5 linked regions of the Macaca fascicularis genome follow. The main gene of each other region encodes a partner of the protein of the gene in region 3 in a complex. Links are inferred from orthologs where the notes say so. Each region holds a gene or a part of one and is shown on either strand. Other genes may lie near its edges. The genes, in order: MYBBP1A, SF3B1, SMARCA5, DEK and RSF1.

Region 1 (5,727 bases), on a different chromosome or scaffold from region 3:
GACTCACCTGAAGAAGGCACTGCTGGCCGCCTCTCGGGCCTGGCTTTCCAAAGGGAAGGAGAACGGCTGCTTTGTCTCGGGGATCTGGGATGTGGGCTTCTTTGTGACAAAGAACGCGTGGAACAAACAAAACCTGGGGAGGGCGGGAGAGCGGCCATCACCATTCACTGCCATTGGTTTTACAGGCTCCCCTCCTTGGATGGCACCACCGAGCGTACGAGGCCAGGAGGACGAGGGGGAGCCCTTCTGCTCTGGGCACAGTCCTCAGGGGTCTGACGGGCAAGGCTGGAGGTGGCTGGGCTGGGCTGGGCTAGGATGGGAAGGGGCCGTTTCTCTGGTCTGGATCCCCAGCTGAACGCGGCTTAACCCGAGCTGGAGAGAGAGAATCAGTGCCCCTCCCAAGAAACCAAGAGATGGGAGGCTGTGTGGTCATGGCCAAGTCACGTCACTGCTCCGGCAGACATGGGGCCAGTGCAGCCCCCTCTTGCAACCGTGAATGTTGAGGGTGATTCGAGCACCCGGCTCTGCACAGGCACAGCCGAGGCAGGTGTGGGCAGAGGCTTCCCTCACAGCTCCCACGTGCAAAAGCTGCCTGCAGGGCGCGCAGAGCACACCTGAACCTTTTAGGCCCCTGCAGCTGGGATGCCTCCTGGGCCCCTTCCCTTCACGGGTTCCTAAGGAATTCCCAAGTCCCCTTGCGCCTGTTCCCCACTGATGACTCAACCCAAAGGCTTCTGGCTCCAGGGGATGCAAACTAGGATGAGTTAAGGGGCCCCATTCCTTGGCCACACGCCCATGGGAAGCTGGGGCTCCAGCACATCTCGTACGTACCTGGCCACCTGTGCAGTCAAGGCCTCCTCCATCTCCAGGTGCAGGCTGTCCACAATGCTCACCAATCGAAAGATGATCCATTTCCTCAGCCGGAACACAGCTCGCTCAGGCCTAGCAGGGCAGGAGGTGAGGTCATGTGAGCCACTTAGAACTGGCAAAAACAGGCTGGGCCCAGTGGCTCACACCTGCAATCCCAGTACTTTGGGAGACCAAGGCAGGTGGATCACTTGAGGTCAGGAGTTCGAGACCAGCCTGGCCAATATGGTGAAACCTCACCTCCACTAAAAATAGAAAAATTAGCTGGGTGTGGTGGCGGGTGCCTGTAGTCCCAGCTACCGGAGAGGCTGTGGCAGAGAATCGCTTGATCACTTGAACCTGGGAGGCAGAAATTGCAGTGAGCTGAGATCACCTGCCACTGCATACCAGCTTGGGCCACACAGTGAGACTCTGTCTCAGAAGAACTGGCAAAAACAGGACATTCCTTTGCCTGATCTCAGGAAGCCAAGATCTCCCCATCCCAATCACCAGTGTGCGACCACACAAGCACACGGAAGCCTCACATGAGAGCTCAGGCTCTTCCCTTCTCTCCTCTCACGGTTTAGAGCCAGGACACTGTGGAGGGAGGGCTCGGGTTGCTGGGCTCTGCAGGCCTAGGAAGCTAACTCCTAAGTTAGGGGTCCTTCCCCAAGGTCCACTCACACGTGGAGCGACGCGTCCTGGGCTTTCTTCTGGTTGTTGGTGCTGAAGTCAACCAAGGAGTCCAGGTCTGGCTGGAGAAACATGTCCTGCAGCCAGGCCACATAGCCCCGCAGGGCCGGAGGGCTCAGGAACCGCACGACCCGCCAGAAAGTAGGCGCAACAGGGAGGCCTTGGTTGGTGACGGATGAGAAGGCCACTAGCACGGCCAGCTGCCGCTCAGGGTCATCCTGGCACCCCTCTAGGAAGGTGCCCACATAATCCTCCATCTCTGGGGCAAACTTGAACTGCTTTGGGAGCTGCAAGAAGTTAGGCATGGAGCTGAGCCCACCAGCCCAGGGGGCAGGCGGTCAATAACCCAACAATCCACCAGGCTTGCACCCGCTACGGGTTAAACCAAGGCCCGGAAACCTCGCGTCGTACACAGCTAGGCTGAGCCTGAACTTGCAACAGTTCCGTCACCCCAGTGCTTTTGTCTGGCATCAAGGCCTCTCTGGGTCTGACTGCCCCAGCTTCACCACCTCCGGCCCCAGAAGGCCCCTCTTTCTGCCTTGCTGGATGGGGATGGTCTGTTTTCTGGCTCCATGCAGGGCAGGGTGGTAGTTGAGGCGAGACTGACCTGGGTTCAAAGCCCATGCTGCTAATTCCTAGCTGTGTCATCTTCAGGACCAAAAACCACCACCTCCCATGCACTTCCTCAGCGCCAGGACCCACACCCCACGTTTTTGTGTGGCAGCTTAGCATTTTAGCAACCCTTTGCAGTCAGCCAATATTATCATTGTGTAGGTGAATAAAGGGAGACACAAAAACACCTAGAAAGAACGTCTCAGGGTCAGAGGCTCCCAGTGGGTAATGTCTGGCTTCACGGCCCAAGCTGTTTTCCTTTTAGATTTTTTAGAATTATGTCCCCAGAGTGTGGTGCCACGATCATGGCTCACTGATCCTCCCACCTCAGCCTCCTGAGTAACTGGGACTCCAGGTGTGCACCACCGTCCAACCCAAACTCTTAACCACTGCCTGATACTTCAAGTCTGCCCCCTCACCCAGAATGACAGCTCTCTGAAACTCGTTGCAAAGATAAAATGAGCTGGTGAGAACAGTAAACCCAGCAGCACTTACTGGGCATCAGGCTCACTGGTGCCCAAACACGGTCATGACGACTGTTCTCATCACTGCAGCATGGGTTGGAGCGGTGGAGGTCTGAACAGCCCACTGGCTATCCACGCCCATGAGGGGCCTGCTGGCAGAAGGGCCTGACCTTACAAAACCGTCAGAGGGAAGCCGAGCGCAGTGGCTCACGTCTGTAATCCCAGCACTTTGGGAGGCCAAGGCGGGTGGATCACCTAAGGTCAGGAGTTCAAGACCAGCCTGGCCAACATGGCAAAACCCCGTCTCTACTGCAAATACAAATATTAGCTGGGCGTGGTAGTGGGCACCTGTAATTCCAGCTACTCAGGAGGCTGAGTCAGGAGAATCGCTTGAACCTGGGGGGTGGAGGTTGCAGTGAGCCCAGATCACACCACTGTACTCCAGCCTGGCCAACAAGAGCGAAACTCCAACTCAAAAAATCAAATCTGTCCGAGGGGAAGGGGTTCAGGCAGCTCACTACCCAGACAGAGGGGACACCCGTGGCCAAGCCCCCGAGGTGCCCTGCTCCCCTTCTTGGCAGGGAGAGCTCCCTGTCTAGCCTTTCTGGCAGTGTCGAGCTGCACGGGCGTTACCCACCTTCGCAGTGCACACGTGCTCCCCATAATGGCGGATCACGTCTCCCCGCAACACCAGCTGCAGCTGCTCCTTGGTCAGCAGGGGCAGGGCTGCGCCCAGCAGGCGGAAACACAGGTAGCTAAGGGGGTGCGGGACAGAGCCTGATCAGAGCCCTTGGGACCCCTGGCGGGGACCTCAGGACTGGTGGCCCAGCCCCACTTCACAGACAGGGAAGGGGGCCGAGAGAGGACACGCCCCGCGAGCACCTGGCTGGCCAGAACTGCATCTTCAGCAACCCTTGTTCCACCACCTCCTTCCAGAACCGTGGGAACTTGTCTTCCTTGAGCGCTAGGCGGAGCAGGTCCAGAGCAATGGCGGGCAGCTTGCGGTCCTTCTTCACGGAGGCGGCGGCCATCTTCAGCACGTTCACCAGCCTGCGGAGAGCAAGGGACTGAGGGAACACTCGCCTCACGGGCAAGGGCCAGGGTGCCAAGAGCAGCCGGGACACCCCCAGGCCACATGGCAAACCTGGGCCTGGCCAGATGCAGTCCCACAGCCCCAGGGAGGGCAAATCCGCCCACCTCCGTCACACCTGGGAACATTCTCATCCGAGAATAGGTTCACGGATCCCACCAGCTTCTTGAGCTTGGAGGGCACCTTCTGCTGGGCCAGGAGGAAGAGCTCCAGCTGTTCGGGGGAGCTGAGTATTGCATTCAAGTCGGCTTTAAGGACCTCTGGCAGGATCTCCTGCAATGTAGCCACTGAGACCTAAGGATGGAGAGATAAAGAGATGGTGGCTTCCTCTGCGGGATGAGCCCGGTGGATCCTGCTCTACCTGCCAGGCTCCTGACACAGGGCCACCTGGTGAGGCACCAGAGTCATCAGAGGGTATTTGCTAACAAAACTCAAATTCCCAGGCAGCTGGGTTTTTGACAAGCATCCCACTGATGCTAACTGGCCCAGAGGTAGCTGCTTTTTTTGAGACAGAGTCTCGCTTTGCTGCCCAGGTTGAGTGCAGTGGTGTGATCTTGGCTTACTGCAACCTCTGCCTCCCAGGTTCAAGCAATTCTCTTGCTTCAGCTGGGATTAAAGGTGTGCACCATCACACTGAGCTAATTTTTGTACTTTTAGTAGAAACAGGGTTTCACCATGTTGGCCAGGCTGGTCTCGAACTCCTGACCTCAAGTGATCCACCCACCTTGGCCTCCCAAAGTTCTGGGATTATAGGCGTGGGCCACTGTGCCCAGTCAGAGCTACCCTTTTAATTATTCCTTTTTTTTTTTTTTTAGTATTTCAGAGGACTAGCTCATTTCACACACAAGGAGCCCTGGGTGGAGAGCTGGGATTCAAATTCAGGTCCTTCCGGCTCTGAGGTCAAGACTGCACAGTAAGCCCCGGCCTGGGACCTGCCAGCCCCTGCCTTTCTCTTCAGTGGCAAAAGGGCCTAGGTGCTACCTTCCCAAGTCGGGCAGTGGAGGCCCACGAGGGGCCAGCCTTGACTAGGATAACAAGGCAAACGTTTTATATATTTGTGACGCGCCAGGCACAGTTCTGGAGTTGCACTGCCCAATACAGTAGTCACAGCCACACGGGGCTGCTGAGCGCTTCAAAGGTGGCCAATCTGAACAGGGATGTGCCTAAGTGTAAAATACACACTGGATTCTGGAGACTACCTGACAAAAAGTGTGTAAGAGGCTGGGACCGGTGGCTCACGCCTGTAATGCCAGTACTTTGGGAGGCCGAGATGGGCGGATCACAAGGTCAGGAGATCGAGACCATCCTGGCTAACACGGTGAAACCCCATCTCTACTAAAAAACAAAAAAAATTAGCTGGGTGAGGTGGCAGGCGCCTGTAGTCCCAGCTACTCGGGAGGCTGAGGCAGGAGAATGGTGTGAACCCGGGAGGCGGAGCTTGCAGTGAGCTGAGATCGTGCCACTGCACTCCAGCCTGGGTGACAGAGCGAGACTCCGTCTCAAAAAAAAAAAAAAAAAAAAGCATGTAAGATACCTCAACGGTTTTTTATACCAATGCATACTGCAGTAATATTTTAGATATACCAGACGAAGTAAAATGTTACTAAATGACACCTGTTTCTTTTTACCTTTTCGACTAAGTCACTGAAACACTTCAAATTATACATCTCTGTATTTCTATGGAACAATGCTGTTCCAGACTCTCATCCAAGCCCCGATGATGTCTCTGTAACGGGAAGCGCTGGCCGAGCCCGCACAGCGGGTGAGCTCGTACCTCGGAGAGGACGTCCAGCAGGGCCTTCCCGGGCTGCTCCTGCAAGTGGTTCTGGTACTGGGCCAGGGCCTGCAGCAGCTTCACGGACTTCATCAGGGCCTCCTGGTCCTGGTCCCCACGGAACGACAGAGGGTATGAACAGGGCACACTACTGTCCCCTACCCATTCCAAGTCAGCCTACATTCCCCCAGCCCCTCCAAAGCTCTTACCTTCACCAGCCGGCCTGACTGAAAGAGGGCGAGTACTCC
Region 2 (5,727 bases), on a different chromosome or scaffold from region 3:
TTAATATTTTAACTTTTTCAGTTAATCAATGTTAAATTTACATATCCCTCTAGACCTTTTTCTTTGCACAAGTACACATCATACATGTACAAATACAGTTTTATACAGATGTACAGATATTAGTTTTTATCATCTTTGCCATAAGACATTCATATTATTTAATATTTTCATTTGCTTTTATTGAGATTAGATTAGGAGGAGAACATATGTGATTCTGTACTGTGCCAGTTAGTATTAAGAACCAGTTTTTTCACCGATGTTAATTATGGTGCAGTATGTTCATGGGGCATATAAGTTATTTCTTTAAAAAATATTGAATATTAGTGTGTCACTAATAGCTCTCTTAAATTTTCATCTCTATCTGGAGTTTGAACTTGTGTAATTAAAATTCTTAAACAATTTGTCCCTTGATTAACGAAAATCCTGATAAATCTAAATTTCTTGTATATGTTTAATTCTGTACATGAGTATTTCATCAGTAATTGATGTGAAAGTGTAGCTGCTTCTCTTTTTTCTCTTTTTCAGATCCTTGTGGTCATTGAACCACTATTGATTGATGAAGATTACTATGCTAGAGTGGAAGGCCGAGAGATCATTTCTAATTTGGCAAAGGTATTTACATTTAATTTCTAGAGAAGACAATTTATTTCTGTTTATGGAATTATTTGATTATGGAAGGAAATGGTTGAAGATTAATATTACCAACTCATGACTGTCCTTTCTTTGTTTACTTTTTAGGCTGCTGGTCTGGCTACTATGATCTCTACCATGAGACCTGATATAGATAACATGGATGAGTATGTCCGTAACACAACAGCTAGAGCTTTTGCTGTTGTAGCCTCTGCCCTGGGCATTCCTTCTTTATTGCCTTTCTTAAAAGCTGTGTGCAAAAGCAAGAAGTCCTGGCAAGCGAGACACACTGGTATTAAGATTGTACAACAGATAGCTATTCTTATGGGCTGTGCCATCTTGCCACATCTTAGAAGTTTAGTTGAAATCATTGAACATGGTAAGTTGTAATGTAACTTTTTTTTTTTTTTCTCTTTAAGAGACAGGGTCTTACTATGTTGCCCAGACTGGACTCAAACTTTTGGGCTCAAGTGATCCTCCTGCTCAGCCTTCTGAGTAGTTGGGACTAGAAGTACACACACAGCCTGTCTACTTTTAATAGACAGCTGTCCTAAAATTTGGGCTACTGATTTGGGGAGATAAATGGAAAGGCATAACTGTACAAACTATAGATTTTATGATGGGTTTGTAATATTATCTGCTAACAGGCTATGGTTCATATTTTGCTTTTACCTAATTTTAATGTGAACGTATTCTGTAGTTTGGCTAAATAGTTGATATATTGTGAGAATCTGGATGACATTGTGTGACTTAGGTAATGTTGGGGCATAGTTAAAACCTGTGTTTGGTTTTGTAGGTCTTGTGGATGAGCAGCAGAAAGTTCGGACCATCAGTGCTTTGGCCATTGCTGCCTTGGCTGAAGCAGCAACTCCTTATGGTATCGAATCTTTTGATTCTGTGTTAAAGCCTTTATGGAAGGGTATCCGCCAACACAGAGGAAAGGTAAATCCACCAATTACCTTTTGATTTATCTTCATTAAAGTTAAGGTGACATAAATCTAAATTACTAAAGTACATATATTTTTATTTAAAAATAGGGTTTGGCTGCTTTCTTGAAGGCTATTGGGTATCTTATTCCTCTTATGGATGCAGAATATGCCAACTACTATACTAGAGAAGTGATGTTAATCCTTATTCGAGAATTCCAATCTCCTGATGAGGAAATGAAGAAGATTGTGCTGAAGGTAATTATTCCAGATTTGTTAATGTAAACTGGATTTGTTTCATGGTTCTAAGATAATTTTTTTTTGTTTTTTTTTTTTTTGTTTTTTTTTTGAGACGGAGTCTCGCTCTGTCGCCCAGACTGGAGTGCAGTGGCGCGATCTCGGCTCACTGCAAGCTCCGCCTCCCGGGTTCACGCCATTCTCCTGCCTCAGCCTCCGGAGTAGCTGGGACTACAGGCGCCCGCCACCACGCCCGGCTAATTTCTTTTTGTATTTTTAGTAGAGACCGGGGTTTCACCATGTTAGCCAGGATGGTCTCGATCTCCTGACCTCGTGATCCACCCGCCTCGGCCTCCCAAAGTGCTGGGATTACAGGCTTGAGCCACCGCGCCCGGCCGGTTCTAAGATAATTTTAAAGTGTTTTTTAAAAACAACAAAAAAACTGTATGTTACACCAGTACTGTTTCATTTGTTTTTAAATTTTATTTTTTAAAATTACGTAATCAGCAATGAGTAGTCTGTTCATTTCAAGTCAGTTGATTTATTATTACTATTTTTTAACCTTTTAGGTGGTAAAACAGTGTTGTGGGACAGATGGTGTAGAAGCAAACTACATTAAAACAGAGATTCTTCCTCCCTTTTTTAAACACTTCTGGCAGCACAGGATGGCTTTGGATAGAAGAAATTACCGACAGGTAAGCTTTTATTTTAAAAGAATATTCTCAAAAATCCTTTTGACTTATTCTTTAGTCGACTTGAATGCATATTATTTTTTACCTTAATTATCTCACAGTTTATATGTGCTTGATTATGAAAGGAGATGGATTTTAGTCAGCTAACTTCCATTTTGATTTTGGATTCAAGGATTAATACTCAACTGTGAGGAGATGGATTTTAGTCAGCCAGTTAACTTCCATTTTGATTTTGGATTCAAGGATTAATACTCAACTGTGAATTGATGTTTTTGTGTGGTGAATTCAGTGCTTTATCTGGCTAGATGAAACATGGACACAGTTTTACCTTGAATCATGTTAACTTACACTCATTTTTCTATGTTTGGTCACTTTTCTCTTCAACTTTAATAAATAGCAGTGAATCATTCTTATCATGTTCATTAGCTAAATAGTGTATTTAGAGTATTTGGTTTTCATGATATTTTATGTCCTTGGAAAAGCAGTCTAAAACGTTTTTTTTTCTGTTCTTTTTAGTTAGTTGATACTACTGTGGAGTTGGCAAACAAAGTAGGTGCAGCAGAAATTATATCCAGGATTGTGGATGATCTGAAAGATGAAGCTGAACAGTACAGAAAAATGGTGATGGAGACAATTGAGAAAATTATGGGCAATTTGGGAGCAGCAGATATTGATCATAAACTTGAAGAACAACTGATTGATGGTATTCTTTATGCTTTCCAAGAACAGACTACAGAGGTAATGATAACTAATTATGGCACATTGCTACTGACTTTAATATTTGTAGAAAAACGTATTAGTTGTCAAGCAAATTTTTCTAGAATGCAATTGAATTTGAAGTAATTTTTAATATGCTCACTCGGTTACCAAAAAATGTTATTCTACCTCAAGTTTTAAGATTTGATGTAAAAAAACAACCACAGATGTTTGGGTGGTTAGAAAAGGTTGACTATTAGTATATTTCAACTGTGCAGTCATAAACCAAATGAATGTGTCTTTTTTTAAAATTTATTTTTTAGGACTCAGTAATGTTGAACGGCTTTGGCACAGTGGTTAATGCTCTTGGCAAACGAGTCAAACCATACTTGCCTCAGATCTGTGGTACTGTTTTGTGGCGTTTAAATAACAAATCTGCAAAAGTTAGGCAGCAGGCAGCTGACTTGATTTCTCGAACTGCTGTTGTCATGAAGACTTGTCAAGAGGTAAACTTCTTTTTCAAATTATTATTTCTTCACCAAATAGTTTAATGTAAATAGTAACATTTTAACATTCTTTGTTTTATTATAGGAAAAATTGATGGGACACTTGGGTGTTGTGTTGTATGAGTATTTGGGTGAAGAGTACCCTGAAGTATTGGGCAGCATTCTCGGAGCACTGAAGGCCATTGTAAATGTCATAGGTATGAAATCTGCTGGTTACATAAGACTTTTTCTTGTTTTAATTTTCTTTCCTTTTTTTTTTTTTTTTTTTGTAAGTAAAGTCTTATTTAGGATTTGGGAGGTTTTTGTTACTTTTTTAAAAGCACTTCAATATTGTAGTTAAGTCGGGGGATGTCACAAAAGTTTTGTTTCCCAAAACCCATTTATATTTTACTTTAAAGAGAAAAAAAGGGCAAGTTTAGGACCTACAGGAGAGGTGGGAGTAGTCACAGCTCAAAAAGCTTTGAAGTCTTGGAATACAGGACCCTAGTAGAAATAGTGTTTCAGGTGAAATATATTCTGCCATGTTCTGCTGCGAGGGGGAAAAGGCAAACCTAAAGTTTTAATTCAGTTTTAGAACTATATGTGTATATTTAAACCTTGAATTAGTGATTATGACAGGTTTTTTACTTGCCATCAGTTTCAAGGAATATAATCAGAAAAGTGAACTGATCAAATTATTGTCTTTATTTACATACTCAAGTTTTCAATACTGTCCATTCAGTTTTCTAACCCAAAACACAGCTATATTACAAATGGTCTTGGATATGGAGAGCAAAGTTTTTATTCTGTTAGGGCAGTATGACAAAGAAAACAAATGGTTTCTTGTATTTAATCTTTTTTTTAAATTGATTATAACTGTTGCCAAATGTAACTCCTGCAGAGTTTAGAGGCTCTGATAACCTAGCAGAAGTCAAAATGGCTGACTGTGAGAGAGCCACTGTTTTTTCTTATTTTGTAAGAGGTATTTATGCAATATACATTTTTAAACTATTGTATTTGCATATAATCTCCAATGCAGCCCAGTGCTCTACTTGAAGATAGCCACTTGCCAAAAATCATTTACATGGGCACTTGTAGGTCTCTGGTTTGCAGGGAGTTTTAAACCATATTGTTTGTCAGAGAGGCATGGGAAGAGCAATGGAGAGAGAATCAGAGCAAGTGATTCTAGTTAGAGCAAGAGCCCCTGCCAGCTGCCTCCTTTTTTCTCTCTTCATAGGTGTAAATACCATCCAAGTATGCCCTGCATTGCAGGGAGACTGGAGATCTGTTTGTTTTGCAGTTAAAGGGTAAGGGGGCCCTTTCTGGAAATTTTTGCTTTATTTACTTGTTTACCTCTGGCTTATATTGTTGTGTACGGCCGGAACATAAGCTGTCCCCATATTTAAATGTCAGTGCACAAATACATTTCAGAACCAAACAAAACTTTTTTGTTATTGAGTATCCATCATTCTTTAAATCACTTCACTGATTTCTTTCATTTCTATACATAATCAAAAATTGTTAATAAAAGTTAAAAACGATTCTGAGTCTGGTCAGAATCCGCGGCTTTCTCTTTCCATAGGCAGCTGTAAGTTTATATTTATGCATAGTCATATATAACGTTGCTAAGTAAAAGGAAAGTGAACAAAAGTTGCAATTCAGATGTTGATAGTTTATTGACTTCTATTAAATAGGTATGCATAAGATGACTCCACCAATTAAAGATCTGCTGCCTAGACTCACCCCCATCTTAAAGAACAGACATGAAAAAGTACAAGAGAATTGTATTGATCTTGTTGGGCGTATTGCTGACAGGTAAGCAGATTACCCACACATTTTTATAAGCAGTATCAATTTTCAAATTTGGCCACTTTGTATTCAATTAGCAAAATTTTCTTAATGTCACTAATATAAGTGTATATGATTAGGCTGTCTAGTATTAATATTTTCAGTCAAATTTCAATTTGGATGGTAATGGGGAGGCCATGTAATTTTAGGACTAAACCTGTAAGACTAACTCTTCAGCCTTTCTGAAGAGGAATAACTCTTATTTAATGCTTA
Region 3 (5,727 bases):
TAGGCAGCTCAGGATTTCGAGGTACCTAAAAGATATTTTCCTATGCCATTAAATCAGTAAATTTTAAAGAGCATGTGATAAACCAACTAACTGACATTTCACAAGTTTCAATTCAACCAGGAGAGAAAATACACTGATACATTGCATTTATGACATTAAAAACAAACTAGATTAGTCATGAAGTCTTATTTTTTCTTTTTAAAGAATAACAGACCCAAGTTTACATATTTCACATATACAACTAGGTTAGGCTAAAGCAATTATTTTTCCCACTAGGTCCAAATTAAATATTTATAACTAATGTTTATACTTTCCGTAATTTCTGGATAGGAATGAACAGAAAGGTGGATAATTTCAATTACCTTGTACCCAATAGTTTTTCTGTAAAACAGAATTTCTTTTTCCAGTAACTCAAATAAACGTGGAGGAAAAAACTGGAAATCCTGAACGTTGGGTTGTTTTGGAGGTCGAGGAGCCTAAAGAAAAATAAAAATAAGTGTTATCCATAAAAAAGAAATTTTGTTTTAAATGTATTCTTAGTCCTCACTTCAGAAACCATGAGAGCCAATTCTGCAAGTAACTGAATGCATCTTTCAATAAAACTGAATTGATATCTTAATTTTAAATGCACAGATTCAAAATTAATTTTTTAAAAATGATAACTAAAAACAGAAGGGAGTACACTCCAAAGAAATACAGAATGTAGGCCAGAGGCGGTGGCTCACGCCTGTAATCCCAACACTTTGGGAGGCCAAGGCAGGCAGATCACGAGGTCAAAAGATCAAGACCATCCTGGCCAACATGGTAAAACCCCATAGCTACTAAAATTACAAAAATTAGCCAGGGGTGGTGGTGGGCGCCTGTAGTCCCAGCTACTCAAGAGGCTGAGGAAGGAGAATTGCTTGAACCCGGGAGGTGGAGGGTTGCAGTGAGTTGAGATTGCGCCACTGCACTCCTGGTAACAGAGCAAGACTCTGTCTCAAAAAAAAAAAGAAACACAAAATGTAATTATCAATCTTTTCCAAAGAATATAAGAAAAAAATTACATTTTCAAAACTTTTAGATATTTTTATGCTGTGTCAGTCAACTCACCTTGGGTGCTTTAGGTTCACTAACACGAAGAGCTTCCCTGAAATATGCATCAACAGCATAGTTGGCTTTTCTTTCTCGTTTAGGTGGTTCAATCCATTCTGTGAATGCAATCTAGAACATGGGAAACAACTCAGATCACCGACTTATTCCACAGTAACAAATCATCATCAAGAAGGATGTTTGTAAATGGAAAGATATTCACAAAATCCTAGGCTATAAGCTATGAGGGTGGGGAATATGATACTTTGCTCAATATTATGTATATAATTAACACATGAGACAGTGTCCAGTCAACAGTGTAAGCATTCAGTATTTCTTGCTTAAAGGAACAACTGTTAAATGAGGGAGAAACGCTACTGACTGTTTCGTATAAATCTAAACTAGGAGAAAAGTGTAGACACAAATTAGCCTAGAAAAAATTCTGAAGATATAGACCTAAATGTTAACACGAAAAACATTGGGTAGAATTATTTTTTTCTTATACTCTATCGGTATTTTTCAATTTATCTCTATATTACCAAGTATTACTTACGAAGTTAGGAAAATTTTCCGTTTATTACCAGCCACTTCTGCTGTTTAAAATAAAATGAATCAGGTTGCCATCCCACATTACTATTCATCTCATACAAGAATATATTTCACTGTAAACATACACCACAAACTTCATTACAAAAACTTTAAAAATATTTCAGAGCTTCCCAACTGAAAAACTGGCATTAAATTTTACATAATGATGAAAATATTCAGATGTGAATAAGCAAAAATGACTGCTGTTTTAAGCAAAATTACAAGACATTACAGTAACACTTAAAATTCCAGGTTTCCAGTAAAATAAAGCTTTCATGTAACCCAAACCTATTTCTAAATTACCTTTTGTTTTTCCCTATAGTCTTCTCCTTCGAAGTTATAAACACTCGACTCTGTATCCATTGTAAAGTTTCTAAGTGAGCTTTCGCCCATCTTGGAGAGCTTTTCATTCATCTCTGCAGTCTAGAGAACAAAACAATCAACTTCTTAGATTCACAACAAAGAAAGCATGAAACCTGCAGTCAAAATAAATTAACTTCAGGTACACAAAAGCTTTTTTGTTAGGGAAATAAAATTATTTATCAATGTAACAAATATTTCCTGTTTCTGGTCTAAAACATTCTATATTAAAAGCATTATTTAATCTACATCTCACCTTCTTTGCACCTCTTTCCAAAATACCATCAATATCTTCATCAGTGATCTCACTTTCCTTTGAAGCAAACACATGTGTTGCCCCATGTCTAATCATTTGAAGCATTTCATCTTTCCCAATTTTGTTCAGATTCTGATCCACAAGCCTCCCTGAAAAAAGATTGTGTTGTATAATGTTAACTGAACAGACTTTATTTTACTGGAAACTTGAAATTCTAAATGTAAGGTTTAATGCCTTATAATTCTGTCTCAAATGTCAATCATTTCTGTTTACTGTTTATTCACATCTGATAATTTTCATTTTTGCACTAAATTTAATGCCAAATTTTCAGTTGGTAAGCTACAAAACATTCCTAAAGCTGATATATTATATAATGAACCCTACTGTATACTGTGTCAATGAAATATCTTTTGTGAAAGCTGCATATGATGAAGTTTTCAAAAACCTACAAGTTTCAACAGATGGAAGCATTATGTATTACACAAGTTTCTGATGAGCAGAAAGGTGTTATTACTAATACTCCTCAAATCAGCTTTTTCTCCTTAGAAAAGTGAAAAATCCTTCCCACAGGCCAAACTTTACACAGAACTGAAATATGTAACATCAGTTTCTTTTTAAAGAAAACTTCCAGAAGAACTGGAACTCCTAAAAACTTATTTTATTTGTTTATTTCTTTGAGATGCAGTCTTGCTCTGTTGCTTAGGCTGGAGTGCAATGACAGGACCATAGTCACTGCAGCCTTCAACTCCCTGCTCAAGCCATCCTCCTATCTCAGCTTCCCAAGTAGCTAGGACTAAAGGCATGCACTACCACACCTGGTGAGAAAATGTATCTGGATCATCAAAGAAACTCATCATTAATAAATTACTAAAGATTTTCAGTTGGCAGGAATTTGGACAACCTTGTAATTTGTGTTTTCAAAAATACAGACATAAAAACAAAAACAAAAACCCAGAAAGACTTGTTTTCACCCACCTCAAGGGTCACTCACATACATCTAAACAAAGCTTTGATTTTTATACGCCAACCAACTTGTAATTAAGTGGAAAAAGATCCAAGTTTTCAACAACTTCTTTAAATACTTGTATCATGGTTTGGGGCCCATAACAGAATATACAACCAAACATCTGTGACTTTGAAAGTGAGGCAATATCCAGAAAGTACGTTTCTTTGGATTGGATGCTGCCATTGCTACCAAAATGGTCTCATGCTTATACAAGCTACTTCCAAGTTGGGCAGAGAGGGAACCTTCAGATGTAAAGTGCTTGTGTACTCTCATTTTCAATTATGTTCCTCAAATAAAAAACAGTAACACAGAGGTATGTACTTAAGGCTTGCTGTTTGACTAACATGTCTACAAATGGCACAAGAAAGCTATTAGCCTGAAGGTTTGCTCCAAAAATTGCCACAGTAAATATGAAGTAAAAAACCTCAAGATTTCTAAATTTATGAATCAATTAAGGTTTTTTAATCTTTAAAAAAAAAGTGTTTCAGACAGGCGTGGTGGCTCACACCTGTAATCCAGCACTTTGGGAGGCTGAGGTGGATCACCTGAGGTCAGGAGTTTGAGACCAGCCTGGCCAACAAAGTGAAACCCTGTCTCTACTAAAAATACAAAAAAATTAGCCAAGCACCACTGGTGGTGGGCATCTGTAAACCCAGCTACTCAGGAGGCTGAGGCAGGAGAATTGCTTGAACCCAGGAAGTGGAGGTTGCAGTGAGCCAAGATCGTGCCATTGCACTCCAGCCTGAGTAACAAGAGCAAAACTCCACCTCAAAAAAAAGTGTTTAATGGATGAAAATAACTGAGAACAAGAAGCACATGGCAGGTGTTTTTCAAAACACACAGATGTGTGAAGAAAAATAAAACATTAGCCATTTTATCACCCATGAGATAACCTCATGGGTTGGTAGCCTCGAGAAGCCCCCAAAGGCCTTCCTAATTAAATACTTAATAGTTAACAAAGTTCTTGGTCCCCTTGAGTCACTTCCCAGCTGTATGTACAATGAACAAGTAATTTAACCTCTCAAAAGCCTTTACCTCTGATGCTAACATCTCAAGTTGGCATGAAGACTAAAGGAGAAAATGAAATGTTCACACTGCCTGGCACAAAGTAAACACTTTATTAACGGAAACAATTTGTAAAAATAAGCAATAATTTATTGTCTTTAGGTATGCAATAGCATTAGGGATACCAAAGACATGAAAAATACTCTCTTACATGGAAATAAGAGACTGACAAAATCAAGACACCTACATAATCAGTAAACAATGTAACAATATGCCTTTCAGCTTTTTAGACAGATAGTAAATATATGCTCACAATGCAGTTACAAAGGAAACTAATGAACATTTGAAGTTATTAAGTTTCCCACCCCTTTTCTTGAATTTTATATTTCCCATCATCAACTTTACAGTAAGTTTCATGAAAACATAAACTATGTCATCCTTAAAAGTTGATCTGGAATGAGAACTTAAGTTTCCTTCAATCGATTCAAAATAAAATCCCACTCTCACCCCCTACTCCTACTTATACCTTGTTTACTTCATCTGCCCTCCCAACTAAATTGTAAACTCTTTTAAAGTAAGAATACTTGAATGTTCCATTTACCACTGAATTCTCAACACCAAGAACAGTGCCTAGCATCTGGTGGGTACTCAATAAGTTGCAGACAAGAAAAAAGAATAAAATCAGGCTCTTTGATTTTTATTTCTTCAGTATTCCCCACAGTAATCAAGAGTAATTAGTACATATAAATCATTAACCACCACACTGAATATCAGATATCTTATATACATTATCCCCTTTAATCCTTTAAAATCCTTAAGTGTATTTTTATCCCCACTTAACAGATGAGGAAATGGGTTCATGTAACGAGAGAGAACTGCTAACTGGCAGAGTCATTATTCAAAACTCAATTGTCCTGAGCCCAAATAAATCTTAAGGACAAAACTAAAGTTTACTGTATTTGCAATACAAGTAATCTCTACTGGCTGCAAGCTTGACTCAATGGATGCTTAGTAACAAGAATCTTCTAAGACGATGTTCAAACAAAAACAGGTTGTGTCAATCCAGCTTGGTAAAGTTTTAAAGTTCCATGGCTTACCTTGTTGAATGACTATTGAATCCAGTCTGAGTTTCATCTCAGCACGTTCTACTATTCTTTCTTCTACAGTGTTATCAGTTATAAAGCGGAACACCCTGACTGTCTTGGTCTGTCCAATTCTATGTGCTCGGTCCTAAATAAATTACCATGTTATTTTGAATTGAGTTTAAAAGTCACATAAATAACACTGAAATGGGTACATTGAGAAACAAAATTAAAATATTCTGAAGTATAAAACTTTTAAAAATTTGTAGTAACAATGAATCTGTAAGAATCAGATGAATTCTGCTAGGTTACAGAGATAAAACACACACAATGTCTCCAAACAATATACAAAATTATAA
Region 4 (5,727 bases), on a different chromosome or scaffold from region 3:
TGTGATCCGCCCACCTTGGCCTCCCAAAGTGCTGGGATTACAGGCGTGAGCCACCGTACCTGGTCTTGTTTTTTTCCTTCCTTTTTTTTTTTAATGGAGGTAGGGTCTCAATATGTTGCCCAGGCTGGTCTCAAACTCTTGGGCTCAAGCTATCCTCCTGCCTTGGCTTCCCAAAGTGTTAGCATTATTGGCGTGAGCCACTGCACCCAGCCGTAGATTTTTGTGTGTTTTTTTTTCCCCTTTCTCGACTAAACAATTTAACTTTTTTCAGAGTGATTTATGGCCATCATTATGAATGTTATTCTAAACTACAAAGTAATGCCCTCCCAGTTGATTGCATTAGATGTAAACTTGGAGAGTTTTATCTTATCCAGGTACTTCAGGCTGTTCTGCCTGGAGGTCTTTATTTGTGTCTCTTTTGTCAGTTGACTAAATTATTAGTATTCTCTGTATGTCTTTTGAAGTTCATAATCTCTCAGTTCTAAATTTGATTATTTCTGAAGTACAGCAAACTGAATCACAGTTATTAAATAGAATTATGTCCAAAGATTAAACAGAGCTAGATTTATTTCACAAACGAAGTGACTGGACTGTAATGGCAATAATTTTAGTTGGATAAAAATTAGTTTGCTTTCTAATTTTTTTTTTTTTTTAACTGAGTCCCTGTGAGTTTGCCAGGTGAGTAAAATGTTAGTCTGAAAAAATTTTCGTGGTGCTCTATTAACTAATCAAGTGTTGTCATCTTTTATGTTATTTGCTTTCCAAAACCATGCCCAGAGGAAGAATAAAGTGTTAGGTTTTGGGACTTTGTTCTACATGTTTATCTAATAAAGTTAATACAATGTTTAAGCTTTTTGTTAATTAAGAAATACTAAATTAATTTCCAGAAAAGAGTCTCATCGTGGAAGGCAAGAGGGAAAAGAAGAAAGTAGAGAGGCTGACAATGCAAGTCTCTTCCTTACAGAGAGAGCCATTTACAATTGCACAAGGTGAGTTTCTTCTAGCTTTCTTTGATTTTGTGGTGAAAGTGTCTAAATTTGTGAAAATGATGGTTTGTAGCTTAGTATCAGCAGAGTAGTGTTTTATACTTTAGTTATAATTTTATTTAATTTGCTTTGTAAGAGCAAAGTTACATGTAAATTATGCTGTGAAAATAATTCCTATTAAATTAACTTTGTAAAATGTATTAGTAAGCCATGGGTATTTAATTGTGATTTTTTTTTTTTTTTTTCTAGGAAAGGGGCAGAAACTTTGTGAAATTGAGAGGATACATTTTTTTCTAAGTAAGAAGAAAACCGATGAACTTAGAAATCTACACAAACTGCTTTACAACAGGCCAGGCACTGTAAGACTTTTTTACACTTTAAACCTACTTGTATATTACTTCACAATGGAATCAGTTTCTGTAAATGTTAGTGATCCACTAGTTCAATTTCCACACTTTATGACTGAGCAGACTGAGATATATATTTATTAAATGATTTATCACAGGAAATATAGCTGAATATTAGCAGTTGGATTATAATATCCAGGGCTCTCTCCCTTTTTTTTCTTTTTTTTTTTAAGACATGGTCTCACTCTGTCACCCAGGCTGGAGTGCAGTGTGCAATACATGACTCGCTGCAGCCTCAACCTCCTGGGCTCAAGTGTTCCTCTCACTTAAGCCTCCCAAGTAGCTGGGACCACAGGTGTATGCCACCATATCATGTCTGGCTAATTTTACTTTTTGTAGAGGTGGGGTTTTGCCATGTTGCCCAGGCTGGTCTTGAACTCTGGAGCTCAAGCAGTCCTCCCACCTTGGCCTCCCAAAGTGTTGGGATTACAGGTGTGAGCCAGTATGCCCAGCTCTAGGGCTCTTTCTCCTGTAGTAGTATTTATTCCAAACTGAAATTTCAAATTATGAAATCCAAATTATGATGGTTTTAGTGACCTTTAAATGTATTGAAAGAAATTCATGTTTTTGGATTTTCTGGTCATTCAGAATAAGTGATTTGGTATAATTGTATCACATTTTTAGCAAATACCTGATAAATTGGATGATAGTTTTTTGCTAAAGGATTATTATACTGTACATAAAACTTAGTATTTTATATAATTGAGGAAACTGCTTTAGGTTGTACATGGGCAAAGTAAAGTTGGGTGTTAGAATGCCTGAAGTAGAATAGAATGTCTGATGCATGACATAATTTATTTTCACGTCTGTTAATCTCATTTAATCCTTAAACCAATCTAATTTACATAAGTCCCATAACTAGTAAACAGTATTAACTATAAAGTCCTTGATTTGGAAAAGAAGAATTACTAGTAACTTTATTACTTATGAAAAGGATATCTTTTTAAGTAGTAATTTTCCACATCCTCTGGTACTGTCAGATAACTTTTGATTGTGGTAAAAATTCCCCAGTGAAAATTTGTTCAAATCGTTATTTTCAGAGACTTAAGTTTGTAGGATTTTTATAATGTTATTATGTTAGTAACATATTTTTCAGTTTTGAACAAGAAATGTTGAATGTTGAACCCGTATTGAATTGGTTGACTGTTGAGCCAGTATTGTAAGTTACAGATAGATATGAAAATAAAGATGTTGGCTTTGAATTCTCTTTGAATTTATTCTTGTGTATATTACTGGGTAGTAAATAGCGTTAATAATAAGGAACATTTTCAGGTGTCCTCATTAAAGAAGAATGTGGGTCAGTTCAGTGGCTTTCCGTTTGAAAAAGGAAGTGTCCAGTATAAAAAGAAGGAAGAAATGTTGAAAAAGTGAGTTATTTTTATAAATACTATATTTTAATCAATATGCTTTAAGTTTATTTTTTAATGTTAAAAAAATCACATTTGGGCCAGGCACAGTGGCACACACCTGTAATCCCAGCACTTTGGGAGGCTGAGGCGGGTGTATCACCTGAGGTCGGGAGTTGGCGACCAGCCTGACCAACATGGAGAAACCCTGTCTCTACTAAAAACACAAAATTAGCTGGCCGTGGTGGCACATGCCTGGAATCCCAGCTACTTGGGAGGCTGAGGCAGGAGAATCGCTTGAACCTGGGAGGCAGAGGCTGCGGTGAGCCGAGATTGGGCCATTGCACTCCAGCCTGGGCAACAAGAGCGAAACTCTGTCTCCAAAAGAAAGAAAGATTCAGAGAAGCATTGGCCACTTTTTAAAATGTATGTAAGTCAGCTAATTTGGTTGGCTTTCCCTTTATATTGTGGAGAACATTTGTAAGCTTTCCTATATTAACACCTTGGTTTCTTCCATTTTCTGTTTCAGATTTAGAAATGCCATGTTAAAGAGCATCTGTGAGGTTCTTGATTTGGAGAGATCAGGTGTAAATAGTGAACTAGTGAAGAGGATCTTGAATTTCTTAATGCATCCAAAGCCCTCTGGCAAAGTGAGGATCAATTTTTACTTTTTTCATAAGAAATCAGTTATTCATAGCCTCTTTTTTATACGAAACAAAAATTGATTAATAACAGCATTGCTGTCAGTATTTATTAATATCTACATTCAAAGAATATAACTTCTGTTGTTGTATCTGCAATAATTTCCTGATAGAAATAATACAGATGCCATAGGGATGTGTTGCTTCAGAAAATCAGATACAAGGGAATAAGGTTAAGAATAGTGAATTAATGTCAGAAGGGACAGAAAGTACTAGTAGTCAGGGTTAGGTATCTAGAAGATACTGGAAGAATGAATAGAGGTTGGGCTGAGGATGAGGTGCAAGGCTGGAGGGAAGGGGTGCAATCTATAATCAAGTGAAGACAAAATGGGGAGTATATTAGAACTGGATGTTTTCCTGGATCCTGGAATGAATTATTTAAAAGTGACATTTAAAAGCTCTTACAAGTTTCCTGTATTGGGTTTCCAGAATCCGCAGCAGAGCCCAGGAGCCGGAGAGGGAAGTAAAATGGCCTTATAGTTTTCTCACTCTTCCTAAAAGCTAGTCGATTTGCCCTAATTATTTAATGGTAACAAACAACATAGGTGACTTAAAATGTCTGTTGAAGTGTTATATGACCTTGTATTTTTAGTGTGATTTAGGTCTGTCAGCAAATGTTTTTCTATTCTTCCCGATCTTGACAGGAAAGGAGGTGTGAAGAGAGCGAGCAGGTCTAGGAGTTCAGGGGAATGCCATCTCGGATGGGAGAGGGCATTAAAGAATCAAAACCAGAAAATAGCTCTGGGACTTTGTTTTGGTCTGCCCTTGGTCCTTATTACCATTAGCTGCACGAGGACAGATAGAGAGCACTTAAGGTGTTAACTTTGGTTATACAACTACAAACACAAGGTGTATGATGATTTTTGGTGTTTTAAATTGGCTTATTGAAAGACGACAAAATACTTTTTTTTCCCTAACTTTTACTGTAGCTATACTTGTACTTTTTAAGGATTTAGTGTGAGGCAAGGTGATCACTATTTCCTCAGAAGCAGTTACTAAGTTGTTATGATGGATATTTTTATATTTATCTTTTTCTCAGTGGTTTTCCAATTTATTGGTTTCAGAATACTATTACTCTCTTAAAAAATTAGTGAGGACCCCAAGAGCTTTTTTTAAAATATGGGTTATTTTGATCTTCACTGTATTTGACATTAGAACTGAAAATTTTTATTTTAAAATGTTAAAAATAGTATTTTTTATGAAAAATAACTTTTCAAAAGAATTAAAGAGTGGCATTATTTTATGTTTTTGTACATCCGTTTAATATCTGGCTTAAGAGAAAACAGCTTAATTACCATTTGCTTCTGTATTCAGTCTTTTTTTATTGTTGTTTTGAGACAGATTCTCACTCTGTTGCCCAGGCTAGAGTACAGTGGCACAATCTCTGCTCACTGCAACCTCTGTCTCCCAGGTTCAAGCAGTTCTTCTGCCTCAGTCTCTACAGTAGCTGGGATTATAGGCATGTGCCACCATACCTGGCTAATTTTTGTATTTTTAATAGAGATAGAGTTTTGCCATGTTGGCCAGGCTGGTCAGGCTGAACTCCTGACCTCAGGTGATCCGCCCACCTCGGCCTCCCAAAGTGCTGGGATTAGAGGCATGAGCTCCCGCGCCTAGCCACATTCAGTCTTTTGCAGTATATTGTTTTGCTTAAAATTTATGAAGGGCCTGATGGAGTAGCTTATGCCTGTAATCCCTGCCCTTTGGGAGGCCGAGGCAGGTGGATCACTTGAGCTCAGGAGTTCAAGACCAGCCTGGGTGACAGAGTGAGACTGTCTCACGAAGAAATTAGCCAGGCACTGAGGCACACTCCTGTAGTCCCAGCCACTTGGGAGGCTGAGGTGGAAGCCCGAACTCAGGAGGTCAGTGCTGCAGTGAGCTATATTCATGCCACTGCATTGCATCCTAGGTGACAGGACGAAATCCTGTCTCAAAATATAATAAGTGTATGAAGAAAACCGAGCCTCACATAAAAAGAATATTTTTAAAGTCCTTTTAGATAATTGTGTGTATTCTCTTTTTGATACCACACAATACGAAAACTACGTAAGTTGTAGTTTCCTAAAGGTTAGTTGTAATGTTTAATGTAGGTCTGAAACCATGTTAATTAACTTGGGTCTTATATATATAGTTTTGTAACATGCATTTACCATTTGTAAATATTGGTTCCCTGAATCATATCTTCCAAATGTTGGCATGTTTTATTGAACACTGTCATTAAATCATGCTCATTAATATAAACACCATCTCATCAGAAACGTTACTTAGGCCTTGGAAAACTATTAAG
Region 5 (5,727 bases), on a different chromosome or scaffold from region 3:
GCTTTCTCAAAAAGCTGAGTTGTTGTGACTGAGAGTATAGGGCCTGCCTCTTATATAAAAGATGTGCTAATCTCTGATGATAAATAGTGCCATGCAGTTTAACTTTCTGCAGTGATTATATATGTGCTGATGGTTACAATAGCCACTAGCCTTCATATGGCTTGAGCACTTGAAATGCGGCTGGAGTGACCATGGAACTGAATTTTAATTTTTATTTAATTTTAACTAATTTAAATTTAAAATAACCACATGTGACTAGTGTTTACCATATTAGGTAACACAGAGTAGGGTATTGTATGGACTTTGGATTTTTATTTCGTGTGAGGTGAGAAACATTTGGGCCAAAGCACAGATGAGTATTGAGAAGCAGATGAGGAGGAAGAGGAAGAGGAAAGCAAACCATCCCACATTTTGAGCAAAGGAGTGATGTGATCTGACTTAGGTTTTAATTTGCTGTGGTAGCTGTGTTATGAATAGATTGAAGGGGGCCAGGGCAGAAGCTAGAAGACCCATTGGGAAGTTATTGTAATAGTCCAGGTGAGAGATGATGGAGGGTAGAACTGGGTCAGTAGCAGTAAAGAGGCAAAAGCAGTCACATTAGGGGTATGTTTTAAAGTGAGACCGAAAGGATTTACTGTTGGGTTGGGTGAGAGAAAGAAAATAATCAAGGATGACTGAGAAATTGGAGGAGCAATTGTGAAAAACTAAGATGGTAGAGACCACAGTGCTGCAGGATTAAGGAGAAAATTTAGGAGCCCAGTTTGAGACACGTCATTTGAAATGCCTGCTTAGAGATACCCAAGCCTAGATGTCAAGTAGGCAGTTTGATACACTAGGCTGGAATTCAGTGGTTGCCTAAAATAAATATGAAAGCCGTTAGCATATAGATGGCATGCCAAGTTGTGAGACTAGGTGAGCTCTTCTAAAATGGAAGTAGAGTCATCTTCAGTATCCATTGGGGATTGGTTTCAGGATCCCCGCAGATACCAAAATCCTTGGATTTATAAGTCCCTCATATAAAATGGTGTCATATTTGCATATAACCTACCCATATCCTCCATATACTTTAATCTCTAGAATATTTAAAATACCTGATACAATGTAAATGCTATATAATTGTTATACTGTATTGTTTAGTGAATGACAAGAAAAAAGTCTATGTATGTTCAGTTCAGACACTACCATCTATTTTTTTCCTGAATATTTTCCATCTGCAGTTGGTTAAATTCATGGATAGGGAGGCCCAACTGTATAGACAAAGAAGAGAAGACAATTAAGACTACCAAGGGTGTCTGATAACTAAGATGAGAATTGGCACAGTGTTTAAGAGGTACAGAGTTGGGTGTCCAGTTTAAATCTTTCCTTATCAGCATGTTGACATGATAACCTAATTTGTGTACTAGTGGGAAGGAGTTTCTTAGTTTGTAACTAACCTATCTTCATTTAATTCAAGCATTATCAGACATCTTCCCCAAGAAATTTGCTGTTGGCCAGGCACAGTGGCTCACACCTGTAATCCCAGCACTTTGGGAGGCCAAGGTGGGCAGATCACTTGAGGCCAGGAGTTCGAGACCAGTCTGGCCAACATGGTGAAACCCCGTCTCTACTAAAAATGTAAAGAAATTAGCTGGGTGTGGCAGCACATACGCCTGTAATCACAGCTCCTCGGGAGGCTGAGGCAGGAGAATTGCTGGAACCTGGGAGGCAGAGGTTGCAGTCAGCCGAGTTTGCGCCACTATGCTCCAGCCTGGGAGACAGAGTGAGACTCCGTCTCAAAAAATAAAGTAGACCAGGTGCGGTGGCTCACGCCTGTAATCCCAGTACTTTGGGAAGCCAAGGCAGATGGATCACAAAGTCAGGAGTTCGAGACCAGCCTGGCTAACATAGTGAAACCCCGTCTCTACTAAAAATACAAAAAGTTAGCCTGGTGTGGTGGCAGGCACCTGTAATCCCAGCTACTCGGGAGGCTGAGGCAGGAGAATGGCTTGAACCCGGGAGGTGGAGGTTGCAGTGAGCCAAGATCACACCATTGTACTCTAGCCTGGGTGACAGTGTGAGACTTGGTCTCAAAAAAAAAAAGAAAATATTCTCTAAAATCATAAATAAAGTATACCATGAATCATATTGGGCACTGTTATGGGGCTGAGGAGAGAAATCAGGCCAATTATTGAAAGGACATTTTTATGTACAAGCAATTCTGAAAGCAGGACGTGGTGAATATGGGGAGGAAAAGAAGAATTAAATTCGTTTATGGTTACCCATGCCAATGGCTTAAATGTGCTGTTTATTCTAGAGAGCTATTTGTCCAAGAACTCTGAAGATGACGAGCTAGCTAAAGAATCAAAGCGGTCAGTTCGAAAGCGGGGCCGAAGCACAGATGAGTATTCAGAAGCAGATGAGGAGGAGGAGGAAGAGGAAGGCAAACCATCCCGCAAACGGCTACACCGGATTGAGACGGATGAGGAGGAGAGTTGTGACAATGCTCATGGAGATGCAAATCAGCCTGCCCATGACAGCCAGCCTAGGGTCCTGCCCTCAGAACAAGAGAGCACCAAGAAGCCCTACCGGATAGAAAGTGATGAGGAAGAGGACTTTGAAAATGTAGGCAAAGTGGGGAGCCCATTGGACTATAGCTTAGTGGACTTACCTTCAACCAATGGACAGAGTCCTGGCAAAGCCATTGAGAACTTGATTGGCAAGCCTACTGAGAAGTCTCAGACCCCCAAGGACAACAGCACAGCCAGTGCAAGCCTCGCCTCCAATGGGACAAGTGGTGGGCAGGAGGCAGGAGCACCAGAAGAGGAGGAAGATGAGCTTTTGAGAGTGACTGACCTTGTTGATTACGTCTGTAACAGTGAACAGTTATAAGACTTTTTTTCCATTTTTGTGCTAATTTATTCCACGGTAGCTCTCACACCAGCGGGCCAGTTATTAAAAGCTGTTTAATTTTTCCTAGAAAACTCCACTACAGAATGACTTTTTAGAAGAAAAATTTCAACAAATCCTGAAGTCTTTCTGTGAAGTGACCAGTTTTGAACTTTGAAGACAAATAATTGCTGTAAATTCCTTTTGATTTTCTTTTTCCAGGTTCATGGTCCTTGGTAATTTCATTCATGGAAAAAAATCTTATTATAATAACAACAAAGATTTGTATATTTTTGACTTTATATTTCCTGAGCTCTCCTGACTTTGTGAAAAAGGGTGGATGAGAATGCATTCCGAATCTGTGAGGGCCCAAAACAGAATTTAGGGGTGGGAGAAAGCACTTGTGCTTTAGCTTTTTCATATTAAATATATATTATATTTAAACATTCATGGCATAGATGATGATTTACAGACAATTTAAAAGTTCAAGTCTGTACTGTTACAGTTTGAGAATTGTAGATAACATCATACATAAGTCATTTAGTAACAGCCTTTGTGAAATCAACTTGTTTACTATTGGAGATAACCACACTTAATAAAGAAGAGACAGTGAAAGTACCATCATAATTAACCTAAATTTCTGTTATAGCAGAGTTTCTTGTTTTAAAAAAATAAAATCATCTGAAAAGCATTTGTACAGTAAAATGTATAATGAAGCTTTGCCAACCAGACTGTGCTAGCAACACATTTTTTTAAATAGCTTTATGCAGTGGTAATAAGGTGGCCTCAAATATATTATGTCTGATGGAGGGTTATTAGCGAAATGGATGTGGTCTTTGTTAAGGCCTGGGTGGATCGTAAACTTTGCCAATAGTATAACTCTTGTCTTCTGGCCACTTGATGTTTAAATATCTGAAATATCATTTTGAAAAAAATACATCTATATATAACATACATGAAGAGATGCTAAGCTGACAGTGATATTTTAGCACATTTGAAGACTGGGAAGAGATTTTCAGGTGAATTTTAACTGGTCTATTCTTGCCCTTAGTATCTACTTCAAATTGAAGTCTACAAACAAAGCAGTTCCTTTGGGAGGTTTTTAGTTTGAGTTTTAGCATGTGTGCGTATGTGTGTGTGTGCGTGTGCGTATGTGTGTGTGTTGGAATTTCCTATCTGCCTGGATATATTAGCAGAGTTTGAATGTAGTTTTGGCCTTTGGCCGTTAGACTTCTATTAAAATTCATTAATAGTCATACAACCAACATAGAGTTGAATGAGAACTGCCGATGTAATTAATAGGCATGACATCCATTTCAAACATCTCAACACTTTAAAGAAAAGCCCTTTATTTAAAAAAAGAAAGGGTTTTTAACTAACTAAATACCTAACATGTAATTGACACTAAAATATGAACTTTGTCTTATTTAGTTTCTGTTATAGCTGTAAAACTTCAGGCAGAGCCATAACATTGTACAGAGTGTAGCACTTGTGATTAAACCTAGCCTGTTAAATCCTGAAACCTTCAACCATTACTTCTGTGAATACTTTTGCCCTGGGATTTGGGTTTTTCTGTTCCAGTGTTGTGTCTGTTGCCGGCAATGGACACACCATATCTGCTGCTGGCCCAAGGAACGTCATTAATTTTTCTTTCCAAATTAAATATTATGTGCTAGTCAGTATATAGTAAAGCACTTCTCTTTTTTATTACTAAAAAGCTGGCATTAGATTTGCATTATAAATACCTCTCTAGGAACTTTATACTCCTTTTCCTTCTTCAACAGGTATTGCCCTTAAATCTTATCTTTTGGCCTTGAAAGTTTATAGCTGTTGTTTTTCAGTTGTTTGTTGTTTTGTTTTGTTTCACTTTAGTTCTGTAGTACCTGCCCATTAATATTTTTGCTTTGATTCTAGCAATGTGTATGTATCTGTAAAAAAATAAAATAATGAAAGCAGCCTAAAAATAGGATGCACCAATAGCGTGTGGTTCCAAGTAAGTTGTGATTTTTATTTTGAGACAGTGTTCCACTGGAAGGGAAGGAAGGGCTTACATTCACAGACGGTAAAGCAGGACTGTGGAAGGAGCTGCATTCACTTACAGTCTCCTTTCCAGCTAGGTTTGTTTTATTTATTTGCAAGTCAGCTAAGAATTAACCTTTTAAACTATCTAAAACAGGCCAGCAATATAAAGATTTCTACCAGTGCAAGGTAAGTGGTTTGAATGTACAGGTGCCCTTTCCTGCCACCCAGTCTTACCCCACCATTTTAGTCCTGCAACTGGGTAAAGCCACTATTGTGTGGAAACTCTCCCATGTGCCCTGTCTCTACCTCTGGACACACCAGCTCCTCCTTCCACCTATTAGTTCTATTCCTCAGTTAAGCCAGTGATCAGAAGTAGTATTAAATGGGTAGATAATTTTAACAGGATGCCTAATGTGAAATAAGGAGTTATTTTTACTCTTCTTCTATAGAAAGCCTAAGGTAATTTTTACCATCGCAAAGGCTGAGTATTCCATTTAGCAAATGTCCCACTGACATGGGTTTGGAGACCACTTGTGCTGCCTGATGTTTACCAAACTTGAGTAAATGTTTGTCAACTTGATAGTGAATGTACCCCTTCTCACCTTATATTTTGATTAAATCAATTAACTATAGGTCATCTACCAAGAATGTAATCCAAACAGTTGATAAAACATTATTATGCAGATTGATTATTGATTATTAAATTTTGAGCAGTGCAAAAACAGTTCTGCTGCTTGGAGTTCAAATTCAGTCCCTCAAAGAGTTTATGATCACTGAAGTACACTCTGAAGGTATCCTGAAGAAGTTAAAAAAAAAATTTAGAAAACGAAATGTTCTGTA

The links.
Region 1: SMARCA5 (region 3) and MYBBP1A share a complex: the UniProt entries of both Homo sapiens proteins name them as parts of the B-WICH complex. The link is inferred for Macaca fascicularis from reciprocal best matches to the Homo sapiens genes SMARCA5 and MYBBP1A.
Region 2: SMARCA5 (region 3) and SF3B1 share a complex: the UniProt entries of both Homo sapiens proteins name them as parts of the B-WICH complex. The link is inferred for Macaca fascicularis from reciprocal best matches to the Homo sapiens genes SMARCA5 and SF3B1.
Region 4: SMARCA5 (region 3) and DEK share a complex: the UniProt entries of both Homo sapiens proteins name them as parts of the B-WICH complex. The link is inferred for Macaca fascicularis from reciprocal best matches to the Homo sapiens genes SMARCA5 and DEK.
Region 5: SMARCA5 (region 3) and RSF1 share a complex: the UniProt entries of both Homo sapiens proteins name them as parts of the RSF-5 ISWI chromatin-remodeling complex. The link is inferred for Macaca fascicularis from reciprocal best matches to the Homo sapiens genes SMARCA5 and RSF1.

Annotation. Positions count from the first base shown.
Region 1 is NC_088390.1:4,637,752-4,643,478, forward strand, and holds part of MYBBP1A (myb-binding protein 1A), read right to left. Parts: coding exon 5,689-5,727; intron 5,588-5,688; coding exon 5,480-5,587; intron 4,000-5,479; coding exon 3,824-3,999; exon of another isoform or gene 3,813-3,823; intron 3,666-3,812; coding exon 3,498-3,665; intron 3,371-3,497; coding exon 3,253-3,370; intron 1,827-3,252; coding exon 1,531-1,826; intron 943-1,530; coding exon 832-942; intron 134-831; coding exon 8-133; intron 1-7. UniProt on the Homo sapiens protein: May activate or repress transcription via interactions with sequence specific DNA-binding proteins. Repression may be mediated at least in part by histone deacetylase activity (HDAC activity).
Region 2 is NC_088386.1:93,009,871-93,015,597, reverse strand, and holds part of SF3B1 (splicing factor 3B subunit 1), read left to right. Parts: intron 1-525; coding exon 526-612; intron 613-738; coding exon 739-1,009; intron 1,010-1,426; coding exon 1,427-1,572; intron 1,573-1,667; coding exon 1,668-1,814; intron 1,815-2,362; coding exon 2,363-2,488; intron 2,489-3,001; coding exon 3,002-3,223; intron 3,224-3,504; coding exon 3,505-3,687; intron 3,688-3,772; coding exon 3,773-3,884; intron 3,885-4,903; exon of another isoform or gene 4,904-4,973; intron 4,974-5,360; coding exon 5,361-5,481; intron 5,482-5,727. UniProt on the Homo sapiens protein: Component of the 17S U2 SnRNP complex of the spliceosome, a large ribonucleoprotein complex that removes introns from transcribed pre-mRNAs.
Region 3 is NC_088379.1:148,651,035-148,656,761, reverse strand, and holds part of SMARCA5 (SWI/SNF-related matrix-associated actin-dependent regulator of chromatin subfamily A member 5), read right to left. Parts: intron 5,517-5,727; coding exon 5,384-5,516; intron 2,425-5,383; coding exon 2,276-2,424; intron 2,083-2,275; coding exon 1,963-2,082; intron 1,204-1,962; coding exon 1,093-1,203; intron 477-1,092; coding exon 363-476; intron 26-362; coding exon 1-25. UniProt on the Homo sapiens protein: ATPase that possesses intrinsic ATP-dependent nucleosome-remodeling activity.
Region 4 is NC_088378.1:154,654,833-154,660,559, forward strand, and holds part of DEK (protein DEK), read left to right. Parts: intron 1-887; coding exon 888-989; intron 990-1,235; coding exon 1,236-1,345; intron 1,346-2,665; coding exon 2,666-2,760; intron 2,761-3,268; coding exon 3,269-3,389; intron 3,390-5,727. UniProt on the Homo sapiens protein: Involved in chromatin organization.
Region 5 is NC_088388.1:76,562,944-76,568,670, reverse strand, and holds part of RSF1 (remodeling and spacing factor 1), read left to right. Parts: intron 1-2,293; coding exon 2,294-2,868; 3' UTR 2,869-5,727. UniProt on the Homo sapiens protein: Regulatory subunit of the ATP-dependent RSF-1 and RSF-5 ISWI chromatin-remodeling complexes, which form ordered nucleosome arrays on chromatin and facilitate access to DNA during DNA-templated processes such as DNA replication, transcription, and repair.